Cricetulus griseus: one gene and its partners. The protein of the gene in region 1 interacts with the protein of each later gene in a pairwise test. Links are inferred from orthologs where the notes say so. Each region holds a gene or a part of one and is shown in the gene's direction. Other genes may lie near its edges.

Region 1 (4,535 bases):
CCTACTGAAATGTTCCCTGCAGGTTAGAGGTATTGCATAGTCACCTGTCAAGCACAGCTCAGGATTCAAGAGCTCTAGAGGAAAACAATGTTAGGGTCCTTGATGCTGCCAAAGTGCTTGGGTTTATTTTTTTTTAATTATTGTTTGACTTTCCCCCCTTCCTCCATTCCAGTCTCAAGTGACTTAAATATGCTTACCGTTTATTATAACCATGTCTAATAATTTGCGTTTCTCATTAAGACAAATAAATGAGTCTGGCAGTGTTGTCTGGATGGAGAAGTGCTGTAGGAAATCACCCACCAGTTTCTTTGAGTGAAACAAATGAATGATCTTTGAGATCACGGTCAGGTATGTGGATTGATTTCCAAGTTCTCAAGGAGAGTGTCTATCGTTTCTGATTTCCCTGCTCTCCTGGTTCCTTCAGATACCTTCCCAAGTCTCTGGGAAAATGCCTGAAAAGTGCCTCTCTTCCTGTGTACCTACACAAACTCAAGATCCGTGTCCCCCCCCCCCCCCCCGCAGCAACACACACCGGGTTTCTGCTTATAATTTTACTAAGAAACGTTGGTGAGAGAGTAATGCAGTGCGTACTGGATTTGGGTCCCAGGACAGCTCACTTTGCAGTTGCTTGCTTTCTGGGTAAGTCACACATGTGAAGCTCATGGGCCTTTTTCCCAGTCTTCGCTTGTTCCTTCTGGAGATCTCCCCTTGGATCACCTAATTAGGAAATGGGAAAGTGTCAGGGCAGGAGCACCTCACAAGTGGAAAAGGCCAAAAGAGCTCTCTGCCTGCTCGTGAGGGACTTTAGATCCATCACTTCCTGAAGGTGGTGTTATTATTCGATAACCCTGGAGCCCAAGAGGGCGGGCAGATCCAGTGACTTGGGGTGTGCTATCAACGCTCACCCCCAAGATCACACCAGGGAACCCATGGTGATGCTGGCTTATTTATTGAGGCCTGGCAAAGGCAGGCCGGAGAACTCCAAGGCCCTCTTCTCTAGTATGCGCCATAACCTAACAGCCGACCACAAGCACCTCAAACAACCCACAAACTGGTAGAGAAAAAGACACCGCAGGAGCAACCCTAAATAATTTTATTTTTGTCACATTTTCTCCCACACCTTTTCCCCCTCCTGCCTCTCGGGACTCAGAAGTCAAGGTCAGCTGCGCTTCGCCAAAAAGAGCGCACCACCCAGGCTGGCAAGCAGCACTGCAGTCGGAGTCCTGGGAATTATTCCCACCTGTCAGGGGAAGCCGCACAGCTGGGGCAGGGACGCATAGCAGCACCTGTGAGTGCGGCTCACGCCTCCGCTGCGCGTGGGACCCCCCCCACCCCACCCCGACCCCGCGGTCCTGCCCTGGTTCAGGGAAATGTGCTACTGAGAGGACCCTGGAGCGAAGTCACTCTCTGGGCTCGGGTAGCCGACCCCTTCCACTACTCAGCCCGGCGCTGAGAGTACCACAAAAACAAGTGCTGATCTGCGGAAGGAGGAGGCAGGGCTGGGCGAGCTAGGGAGGAGCTCAGCCGGAGAGAAAGGGGCGGTCCCGGGTGAGGGCAGAGGCTGTGCCGGCGCCTCCTCATTGGCCGGGACGAGGCAGCCAGCGGGTAGGGGCGGAGCTTGTCTGTCTCCCCGCCCCGGCCCCGCCCATTCCCCACCCCGGCCCCGCCCCCGGGCCGCTGTTGGGACTCCCGCGCCCCTCGCGCCCTCCCGCGGGCGGGCCGTCCGAGTTTTTAAAGTGGGCTGGCAGCCGAGGAAACCGGACATTCGAGAGCGGCCGGTGCACAGCTTCGGAGTCTCCAGCGTTCCGCTCCAGCTCTCCTGAGGCGGCCGTACAATCCTCGGCAGTGTCCTGAGACTGTATGGTCATCTCAGCGGCCGCACTCGCCTGGCCCCGGATTCTTTCCAACTCGCTCTCTTTGAGCCACTGTTTTTGTTTGTTGGCTGGTTGGTTTTGTTTTGTGACATCCCAGAAAACTGACTCCTGTTTGCGGATAAACGGAACTTCAGGTCCCTTGTCTCTGCTCTCTCCTTTGGCGTCTTACAACCTCCTCCCACTCCTTTCCCCGGCCCCGCCTCCTCCTACAGGTTCCTCCCCGCCACCCCTCTCCTCCCTCCTCCTCCTCCGCACCTAGCCAGGCGTCCGCCAAACTTCCACCTGATTGTGCGGGACACTCGGACCTGCGAGCACTAAAGACCTTTCACACCTGCCGGGGCGACAGAGAGCCGCCGAGGGCCACAGCTAAGGCAGCGGCTGCAGCCCCTACCGGCCTAAGGAACCCAGGTGCTCCGGGTCTCGGAGGGACACTGCAACAATGACAGCTGACAAGGAGAAGAAAAGGTAAGCGGGCGTCGGAACCGGCGACCAACTCAGTGCCAGGCAGTGGCGGAACCGCGCGAGGCGGGCGCGACCCGGGACAGTTGCGGGAGGTCTCGGAGGCCGGGGGACCGCTCTGGAGGTGGCGGTGGGTGGGTGGGTGAGCGAGCAGGTGCGGACTTTACGGACGCGCAGCTGCCGCTTCACAACAAAGTCGCGAACCCGATCGTTCTGAGACCTTGAGTCACAGAGAGGTGGCCCTGGAGGTCAGGGGTGCTTCCGCGGCGCCTTCCAAAGTCTGTCGTCCCCAGAACACCAAGCTCTGGGGTTTGAAATGTTTCTGGGCTGATGCCCTCGACTTTCTCAGGGTTTACCTGCTGAGCAGACACGCCTTTCTTTTCCTAAGACCCCTTCAGGTCTTTCCGAGAGCTCTCCTTTGCGGGCTCCGCGCCCCAAACTAGTAAGGGACAGAGGGCAAAGCGCAACTCGGGGGCGCTTCCTGGCCCCAGGAGCCGGAACACGGCCAAGTGCCCTGCTCCTGAAGGCACTCAAGTTTTAGAACACCCCCTTCCCTCGCCCTGCATCTGGACTCCACCAGAGAGTGGGTAGTGACCTGGATTGCCCTGCGGGGGCAGGTGTCTTAGTGTGCAGAGAGAGGACGGCGACACCGGACCTCTCCGAGTGTCTGAAGAAGACAGAGAAGGGCAACCACGAAGGCCTGTCCTCGCGAATCTTTCCGCACTGGGTGAGAGGCAACTCCGGCCAACTCGCGCTGCCCTAGTGTCTCCTTCAATCCGCCCCGGATCAGGCGACACCGGCAGGGCTCTCTCAGAGCCTGGGTGCGAGCGCACCACGCTGCCGCGCAGCCCTGGGTACACCCTCGCCTCCTGCAAAAGTTTGTGGCTAGTCGCCTGGCCCTTTGCTCCTGTTTCGACCGGTGCGAGCCTTTTGGGCTAGAGCGTCTAACACTGGGCTCAGCGGCTACTTGGCTAGGGTGGCTGGAATCGAACGCAGGATGTCAGAGTGGCGCGGGCCGCGCGGGAGATCCGCAGGCAGGATGGAAAGGACTGCGCTGAGGACTCGGCCCCAGAGCAGACTGGCTTTTGTTTGGACTTCCACTTAGGGACCCGAGCCAGGAACAGTGTATCCTCTGGTCGAAAGCGACAGCTCCCACCTCAGGGCACCGATAAGGATTTGATAAACGAGCGAATCGCACCCGTCCTGGCCAGGCGCCCGCACCGTGCGCTGACGGATCTCTAGGGGGAAGGTATTGAGTCGGGTTCTAGATTCCCCGTTGTTGCCCACCAAACAGCTCTGGGGTGCTGTGTCCTTTGAGGTTATACAAGCAAGGGAAAAGACTCAAGCTGTAAAGGCAATCAGAATGCAGTCATAATCAAAACCGCGAAGTCAGACAGCCCAGAGCCGCCAGGGGAACTTACTGAACTTTTTATTCCTGCGGTGCCTATGGGTGACTGTCGCATTTGTACAGATGAGGCCTGATGGTAATCGGTGTGAAGTGTCATCTTGCTCTTAGGTCTACCAATCATGGGAAAAGCTGCTTCCATACCCGACTTACAGAAGCCTCCTTAGCAGAGGGCTGTTGGAGGGTGCGGGGAGCCCCAGTAGGAACAGGAAGACAGTTGCATAATAACACTACAAATTACCGATGAGTGCAAGCGGCCGCTTTAAGAACCAGTGAAACACGCTGGCCTGTGAACCTCCTAGGAGGCCGCTGCGGGTGTGCAGCTCCCTAGTGGTAGCCCAGCAGGGATTTTGCGTGTGTTAAGGTAAGGCAGGGCAAGCCTTGTGCAAGTTCCCTCACTGCCCAATGCCTGTTAGGCCAATGGCATTGAGACTCTGGTTATATTGGCTGGCTTCTTAGAGCATCGAGATGTATTTAAAAATTGTGAAGCAGGGCATTGAATGCCTCACGAAATTGTTGTGAGCTGCAGGGTTTCCTGAAAGATTTGTATTTTTATTGGTTTAAGAGCTGTTTCTTCTCTAGAATATAATTGAACATTTTTCATTCTAGAAACAGCCCCTCAAGAATCCAGAAGGATTGTTTCTATTCCCAGGCATCCCTGTATATACTAATCCATAACAATTAAGAGCAAGCCTTTTCATTGTTGGCTGGCTAACAGGCTTTGACAGAGGGAACCATGTCCAGCTCTATTGAGTTTAGATGAAGCAGAGGTCTCACCAGTCTTCCAAGGTTCCTGA
Region 2 (4,032 bases), on another chromosome or scaffold:
GATGGTGATGATGGTGATGATGGTGATGATGATGATGGTGATGATGATGGTGATGATGGTGATGATGGTGATGATGGTGATGATGGTGATGGTGATGATGATGGTGATGATGATGGTGATGATGGTGATGGTGATGATGATGGTGATGGTGATGATGATGGTGATGATGGTGATGGTGATGGTGGTGATGATGGTGATGGTGATGATGGTGATGATGATGGTGATGATGGTGATGGTGATGATGATGGTGATGGTGATGATGATGGTGATGGTGATGATGATGGTGATGATGATGGTGGTGATGATGGTGATGGTGATGATGATGGTGATGGTGATGATGGTGATGATGGTGATGGTGATGATGGTGATGATGATGGTGATGATGGTGATGGTGATGATGGTGATGATGGTGATGATGGTGATGATGGTGATGGTGATGATGTGATGGTGATGATGATGGTGATGGTGATGGTGATGGTGGTGATGGTGATGGTGATGATGATGATGATGGTGATGATGATGATGATGGTGATGATGGTGATGGTGATGATGGTGATGATGGTGATGATGATGGTGATGGTGGTGATGATGGTGATGATGGTGGTGATGAGGGTGATGATGGTGATAATGGTGGTGTTGATGGTGATGATAGTCATCATAATGAAACAGAAACTGTAAAACGCTTCCTAGAATGGGCAGAAGTGTAGGCTTTTCTTTGCCTTGTGCTTTGGAGAGAGGGTCTTGATGCATAACTCAGGCGGGCCTTGAACTCTCAGTGGTTTTCCTGCACAAGTCTCCAGAGTACATGATTTTAAACATGGAGAAGCTTCAGTGGAGACCACGTGCTTTCAGGGAAAACCAGTTGGAAACGGAAGACTTAGCATCAAAAACCACAGCAACAGTACCAGAATCAGCGCTGTGTCTTTCAGAACAGGGCTCCAGCACTTTTGGACACAGTCTGGAGCTGGAGGGGGATGAAGTAAGGGCAACAGCTGTGCAAGTTTCAGGTCACCTCTAATGAGAAGAGGCCACTCACTGTCCCACAGCGGAGAGGGAGGAAACCACAGCCCGTAGACCACAGATGTCTTAGCTCAGGAAGTTCATGGTCAAAGCCGCTGGATGTGGTGGGTGCTTTCACAAGCACTTTCCCCAGAGGCGCCAGCTTCTCACGTAAGTGCAGCTGCTGTAAGAGCATCCTGAGAGCCATGGGTCCTGCACCCCTAGTGCCTCTGGGCAACGGGGTGAACATTAGCCAAGGATGTTCTTTCTCCCTCCCAGGGAAGCTCACAGCCAGATGGAGAAGCGGCGGAGAGACAAGATGAACCATCTGATTCAGGAGCTGTCATCTGTGATCCCTCCACTCAGCCCCGCTGCCCGAAAACTGGACAAGCTCAGCGTCCTGAGGAGGGCAGTGCAGTACTTGAGGTCTCTGAGAGGTAAGTAAGGATGAGAGCTGTCTCAGGCTATTGACATCATCTCTTTATCAGAGAGCTCTGTTAACTCTGTGGTTGGTCCTGGCTATGATATGTCTGTCCGCCTTACCATGACCATGCAAAATTGTACTCCTTGCCTTCATGTGAGAAGATAGGCTGTCAGACACTAAAAACCCCAACATGAAGGTGTAGACCAGCAGATTAGGAGCTCAAGGCCAGCCTGGGCTACATGAGTCCTTGTCTCAAAGCAAACAAAGTATAAAACGGATACACACTGCCACCTTGTGGTTCCTTTCTAGATCTCTGCCTGTAAAGCCAAGCACAGAGCAAGAGTTTCAGAGAACAGGGTGTTCTGTGGACCCTGACAACAATCTTCCCAGACTGGGGATGCAGGAGAGAGCAGAGCTCTCTGGGACTTCCTTTTCTGTGCTTAGAGATCTGGGTTCGTTCCATCAGTCTGTTGAGAAACAAGAGTCTCTTTTACCCACTCCTGAGGCTTGCATAAGTTACTTGGTTTCTCTTGAATCTTTAGCAATGAAATTCCAGGCTACACCAGGGTCATTTGATTCCATCCCAGAGATTACCCAAGGACCTTAATATTAGCCTTGTCCCAGGGGCATGAGTCAGTCAGCTAATTCAACACATATGAATTGAACACCAGCTATAAACCTATTCTCTACTAAGAGAAAGGAGAGGACAGGAGAGGAGAGAGAGAGAGAGAGAGAGAGAGAGAGAGAGAGAGAGAGAGAGAGAGAGAGAGGCGCAAAATCTCTGCCCTTTGGATGTCTCTGTTGACAAGAGGGTAGACTCACAGTGAGGTCATTGTCCCCTGGTGTGGGGACAGTGAGATGGCTCAGCGGGTAAAGTTGCTTGTCAACAAGCCTGACAACCTGAGTTTGGTCCCTGAGACCCACATGGTAGGAGGAGAGAACTGATCCCCCCATGAATAAATAAAAAATGTTTTAAATATAACAACACAACCCCTAGTGTGGTATGTGTCCCAGCAGAGGTGTGTGCTGGGAGGAACTATGGGAACTGAGCAGGGCAGACACTCTCTAAATCCATTGCCATTTCCAGGGGCTGATGTATCTGGTGCCACACCCCTTCTCAGCCATCATGTGGTCAGCTGCTTGTCTACACAGCCTGACCAAGCCTGAGTCAGCACAGCACATTAGTGAAGATGGCTTAAGACACTTGGTTCTGTGCTCCAGTGTGTTTGGCACAGCACAGCTGTATTGGTTCGGCAAAACCTTAGACACCAAACTTCAGAGGGTGCCTATGGACTGTGTTATAGACACAACAGGCAGAGAGTAGCCTGTGAAACTCTGGGTTGGAGTCTCAGTGTCACATAAACCGGGTGTGGTGGCACACACCTGTAATCCAAGCTCTTGGGAAGTGGGGCAGGAAGATCAGGAGTTCAAAGTCGTCCTGGGCTACATAGTGAGTTCAAAGCCAGCCCAGAATATAGGAGGCCCTATTTAACAAAAAAAGGAAGAAAAGAGGGAGGGGAGGAAGGAAGGGGAGGGAGGGAAGGGTCCCAAGAGTCCCCAGATGTTGCGAACACCACTGCGCCGTCATTGTAATAGCCGCAGCAGCTCATGGACGGTGTCCACTGAGCAATTACTGAATTTCTTTCTCTGTGCTCTCAGTAACTTTGGCCTATTTGTTTTTAGGCATGACAGAGTCTTTCTTAGGAGAAAATTCTAGGCCTTCATTTATTCAGGATAAGGAGCTCAGTCACTTAATCCTCAAGGTAAGTGGCTGTACTTGGATTCGGATGGGAGCAGGATTTCAGTTCACCTCTATTGTAGCCATCAGAGAGTCTGTGTCTCACATTCCTTAAATTAGACATTGGAGATAAGGAAATAACCTTGTGTACTAATGCCTCATTAGTTTGGAAGAGCAATGGACATCTCCATTGCAGACCCCCTCACACTTAAGATACCCCCACACACAATCCAAGGATCAACCATGGGCACCACCTCCTCAGTGCCACCCACCTGGAGTCCAGTTATAAGGGATCTGTCACCTGGAGACTAGGGAATGATTCATTCAGAGTTCTCCTGTTGTGGCCTCATCTTCTCACAGGCCGGGGCTTTGCAGACCCCACAGCAGAAAATTGGTGTTTGATTGATAGTTTTGCCATGCACTATGACATAGGTATGTGTTGTTCATTTTGTTCATCTTTCTTTCTTTTCTTTTCCTTTTTTTCATTTTCTTTTTCTTTTCTCTTTTTTTATTTTGAGTTAAGGTTTCTCTATAGCTCTGACTGACCTGGAACTCAATTTGTAGACCAGGCTGGCCTCAAACTCACAGAGATCTGTCTGCCTCTGCCTCCTGAGTGCTGGAACTAAAGGTGTACACCACCACCACCTAGAACATTTTCTTTTCACTTTAAAAAACTTACTCTTATTTTAGCTTAATCTTTAAGATTTACTTTTTATTCATGCGTGTGTGTGTGTGTGTGTGTTAGGGGAAGCTGCCCCAGAGGACAGACAGATCTCTTAGAGCACAGGTTATCGGCAGTTTGAATCACCTGATGTGGGTGCTGGAAACTGGTAAGCTGTATCCCCAGCTCCCAGAGAGTTTAATTCAAAGA
Region 3 (4,032 bases), on another chromosome or scaffold:
ACTTTAGATTTCACTGTATTTAAATTGAAGAAGGACTAGGAAGAATTTCATGATGAAGTTTTTTTTTTTTTTTTTTTTTTTTGTGTGTGTGTGTGTGTGTGTGTGTGTGTGTGTAAGTAGGACTCGAACCCAGGGCCTCATGCCTACCAGGCAAGCATCTCATCATCACTATCACTTTGTTTTTCTTACAACAGATAACTTAGCTTTGGATGGAGATGTAAATGGTTGAGGGCAGTAGTTCCTGAACCTACATATATTTGAACTGTGTTTGTGTATTTGGGCACACGCACAGGAAGGAGGGATGTAGTTAGGTTTTTCTTTGGGTTGTCAGCTCACCAATAATGACACAGAAACTTATTATGAATTATGAAAGCTTGGCCAATAGCTTGTTTCTAACTCAGTCTTATAGTTTAAATTAACCCATTAATCTTCATGCTGCCATGTGACTCATGGCTTTTATCTTTCCTCCTGCATGTCTGTTCCCTCTGCATCTGGCTGGTGGACTCCTTATTCTTCCCAGAGTTATCTCTCTGCCCTGTACCTCTTCCTGCCTAGTTATTGGCCATTCATCTTTTTATTAAACCAGTCACAGTGACACATCTTCACACAGTGTAATGGAACACTGCACAATGCAGGGGATGTTTAAAGGAACACAAGTGACCCATCTTCCTGCCAGGCCATTAGCAAAACCCCAAACTCCCTGTGAATGAGGATGTAGCTGATAAAAATACCCTGGCGAAAAGTGAGTATGTAAGGAAGAGCTTATTTGGCTCACACTTCCAACTCCTTGGTCCATTACAGGGAAGTGAAGGCAGGCTTTAAGCACTGCATCCACAGTTAGGAGCAGTGAGAGAGAGTAATGCATGGATCCTTGCAAGTTGTAGTCAGAAACAAAGAGAATAAATGCACAAGTCCCTGCCTGCCTGCTTGCTCAGTTTTTCTCCTCTCTTATACTGTTGAGGACCTTCTACCTAAGGAATGGTGTTGCTCCAACAGACAGAAATGCCCACAGGTCAATCTGATCAACATAATTCCTCCTTAAGACTCTCTTCCTGCGGGCTGGAGAGATGGCTCAGGGGTTAAGAACACTGGCTGTTCTTCCAGAGGTCCTGAGTTCAATTCCCAGCAACCACATGGTGGCTCACAGCCATCTATAATGAGATCTGGTGTTCTTTTCTGGCGTGCAGGCAGAACATTGTATATATGATAGATAAATCTTAAAAAAAAAAAAAAGACTCTTCCTGGGTGGCTCCAGACTGTCACGTTGAGAGCTGAAGTTGATTGGGGCAGAGGGACTGTATATAATTAGAGTACTGAAGCATAATACTCTGGCCTGTCAGACAACCAGATTATGTTTAAGCTGAATTCGTTCTGAAACAGACTTTATTTAATTGACCTTTCCCCTCTGATCATTAGATGACATGGAATCTATAGCTGCCTGAGAGGGGATCTTACTGCTTTCATATAGTATTGTCGCTAAGCATCCTCTTTCTCTACCACCAGTGAAGGTGTCAGTGCGTGACTCCAGGCATTGGAGACTTAGAAAACGAATCCCTGATTTACTTTCAGATCCTGTATCCTGACCTGTGATAAATTGATTATCCATTTCTCCTGATTAGGCAGCAGATGGATTTTTGTTTGTCGTAGGATGTGACAGAGGGAAGATCCTCTTCGTCTCTGAGTCCGTCTTCAAGATCCTCAATTATAGCCAGGTAACCTTCGAGCCCATGCTAGCAGCCACCAGCTTTATGGTAGTGAGAGATAAAACCCCAGTTTTTCAGAAGAATTAAACTATATGGACCACAGGTGATACCCTTCTTCCAGAAATTCTTAACTTCTTAATGGAGAAAGGAATTTAGACTTAGGAAGAATTTTAATGGGTCCTCTATTTCCCCAACTGGAATATCTGACTCTGACCCAACCAACAGTTTGTTTTCTTATTGCTACAAAATGAAGATCCCATGTCTGTGGACTAGGAGTGGGGAGTAAGGCTGTCTGACAAGGGAGAATTCAATACCCAAGAATAAGAATCTTGGAAACTTACCCCACAGTGCTACGATGCTCTGTGAGCCTTGGCATCCTCTACACATTAATAATAATGACCAGGTGGCCTTAGTTTCTTGTCTTGTTATAAAACACACTGACAGAAGTCAACACAAGGGTGAAAGGGTTTATTGCAGATCAGGTGGAGGTTACAGTCCATCAGGGGCCTTAGGCAGCTGGTCACATCACATCCACCTTTAAGAAAGAGCAAGCAATGGGTGCATGCAAGCCCCACCTCCCATTCTCCGTTTATTCGATCCAGGATCTCAGTCAGGGAATGGGCTTGGCTCAGTGGGTGGGTTGCCCCACACCAGTTACCCCTAGCAAGCGTGCCCATATGCCCATCTTTCAGGGGATTCTAGATTCTGTTAACATTAACTGTCCTACACAGATTTTTAGATTGCCTGTAGGATTAAATAAGAGGAGCACATGAAAGCTTCTAGAATAATCATTTCACCTATTGTGTCCTCAGAATATTTGTTAATCCATTTACTCATTTACATCTTGGAAGTTGCATGGAAGCATGGTAGGCAGACGGTTTTAATCAAAATGGCATATCTATAAATGAGAATTCATGTAAATTTAGCTTTCCCAAGATGCTTTACTCTTTAATTTTTTTTCCTCAGGGCACTTATTAAGGAAGGTTTGTAGTCTCTGTGAGTGGATATAGGTGACGAAAGCATCCAAAGATAGGACTTGGCTAGTTGGGCTCTGCACTTACCCTAACATTCAGGTAGCTGAGATAGGAAGAATTTGAGGACAGCCTGAACCAAATAGAGTCCCAGGAAAGGTGGGGCTACACAGGGAAATTCTATGTCAAAACAAACAATAACCCCTCAACAAATAATCAAGAGGCTTAATGTCAGAGCTGGAGATAGCCCAGTCTCTGTGGTTTTTCTTTTTAAGGTCTACTGGGGAACTCAGGAGTGTTGGACGTGTGTCTGTTTGGGGTGTCTATCCATGCAAAGGGCTGGACGTGTTCAGGGTCCCGTGAACGCTTGAGATGTTTGACTTAAGAACACAGTGGAGGCCAGGGCCATATAGACTGTGAGTACTGCTGTGTCTTCCACATGTCGCTGGTGCTGACTTGTCCATTCACATTTCATCCCCACAGAATGACCTTATTGGCCAGAGTTTGTTTGACTATCTGCACCCTAAAGATATTGCCAAAGTCAAGGAACAGCTATCTTCCTCAGACACCGCACCCCGGGAGCGACTCATTGACGCAAAGAGTGAGTGCAGGGGAGGCTGTATGCTTCCTCATCACCTCACACTGCCCCGCACTGCCCCACCAATGCCCAGGTACACAGACAGGTTCCTGGGGCCCACTCTGTCTTCTTACCTCCCTGCCTTTTTTCTTCATGATAGCTGCTTGCTGTGGCTAACTGGACACATTTACAGTCACTTGCTTTGTTTACTTTGTAGTCTACATAGAGAAGAGAAGTTTCAGTGTCCAGACTTAGTGGAAGAAGGAACTTTGACTTGATTCTGGTCATTTTTTACAGAATCTAGAACTTCCTAGATGAAAGGGCTCACACTGTCTTGTTCTCCCAGAACAAATCTCTCTCTCTCTCCTTCTCCCTCTCCCTCTCCCCTTTCCTCTTCCTCCCTCCCCTCACCTCGTTGCACTCATGCAGCCTCAGATGATAAGCCTAAGAACACATAAAATGCTACTGTTTCAGCCAGATGGTGGTGGTGCATGCCTTTAATCTCAGCCTCAGGAAGTAGAGGCAGGTGGATCTCTGTGAGTTCGAGGCCAGCCTGGGTCTATCTACAAAGCAAGTTCCAGAACAGCCAGAGCTGTTACACAGAGAAACCCTTGTCTCCAAAAACAAACAAAAACCAATGTTTCTTGGCTCCACACTTTCTGCAGCCTGGGATCAGCATTTCTCTAGCCCCAGCCCTTGTTCCCAGGTCATGACCCAGGGGAGGTTAGGCACACATCCTGCCGTTACCAGTCACTAGCTGTGTGGCTGTGAGGAGTTATTC

What was found. The genes of interacting proteins can lie anywhere in the genome.
Region 2: the proteins of Epas1 (region 1) and Arntl2 interact in binary tests that used the Homo sapiens proteins (3 or more experiments, as listed by UniProt). The link is inferred for Cricetulus griseus from reciprocal best matches to the Homo sapiens genes EPAS1 and BMAL2.
Region 3: the proteins of Epas1 (region 1) and Arntl interact in binary tests that used the Homo sapiens proteins (3 or more experiments, as listed by UniProt). The link is inferred for Cricetulus griseus from reciprocal best matches to the Homo sapiens genes EPAS1 and BMAL1.

What each region holds. Positions count from the first base shown.
Region 1 is NC_048598.1:88,387,051-88,391,585, forward strand, and holds the start of Epas1 (endothelial PAS domain-containing protein 1), read left to right. Parts: upstream 1-1,670; 5' UTR 1,671-2,313; coding exon 2,314-2,339; intron 2,340-4,535.
Region 2 is NC_048601.1:2,916,994-2,921,025, reverse strand, and holds part of Arntl2 (aryl hydrocarbon receptor nuclear translocator-like protein 2), read left to right. Parts: intron 1-827; exon of another isoform or gene 828-1,102; coding exon of another isoform or gene 1,103-1,170; intron 1,171-1,278; coding exon 1,279-1,436; intron 1,437-3,106; coding exon 3,107-3,186; intron 3,187-4,032. UniProt on the Homo sapiens protein: Transcriptional activator which forms a core component of the circadian clock.
Region 3 is NC_048596.1:87,395,459-87,399,490, reverse strand, and holds part of Arntl (aryl hydrocarbon receptor nuclear translocator-like protein 1), read left to right. Parts: intron 1-1,619; coding exon 1,620-1,712; intron 1,713-3,094; exon of another isoform or gene 3,095-3,157; coding exon 3,158-3,275; intron 3,276-4,032. UniProt on the Homo sapiens protein: Transcriptional activator which forms a core component of the circadian clock.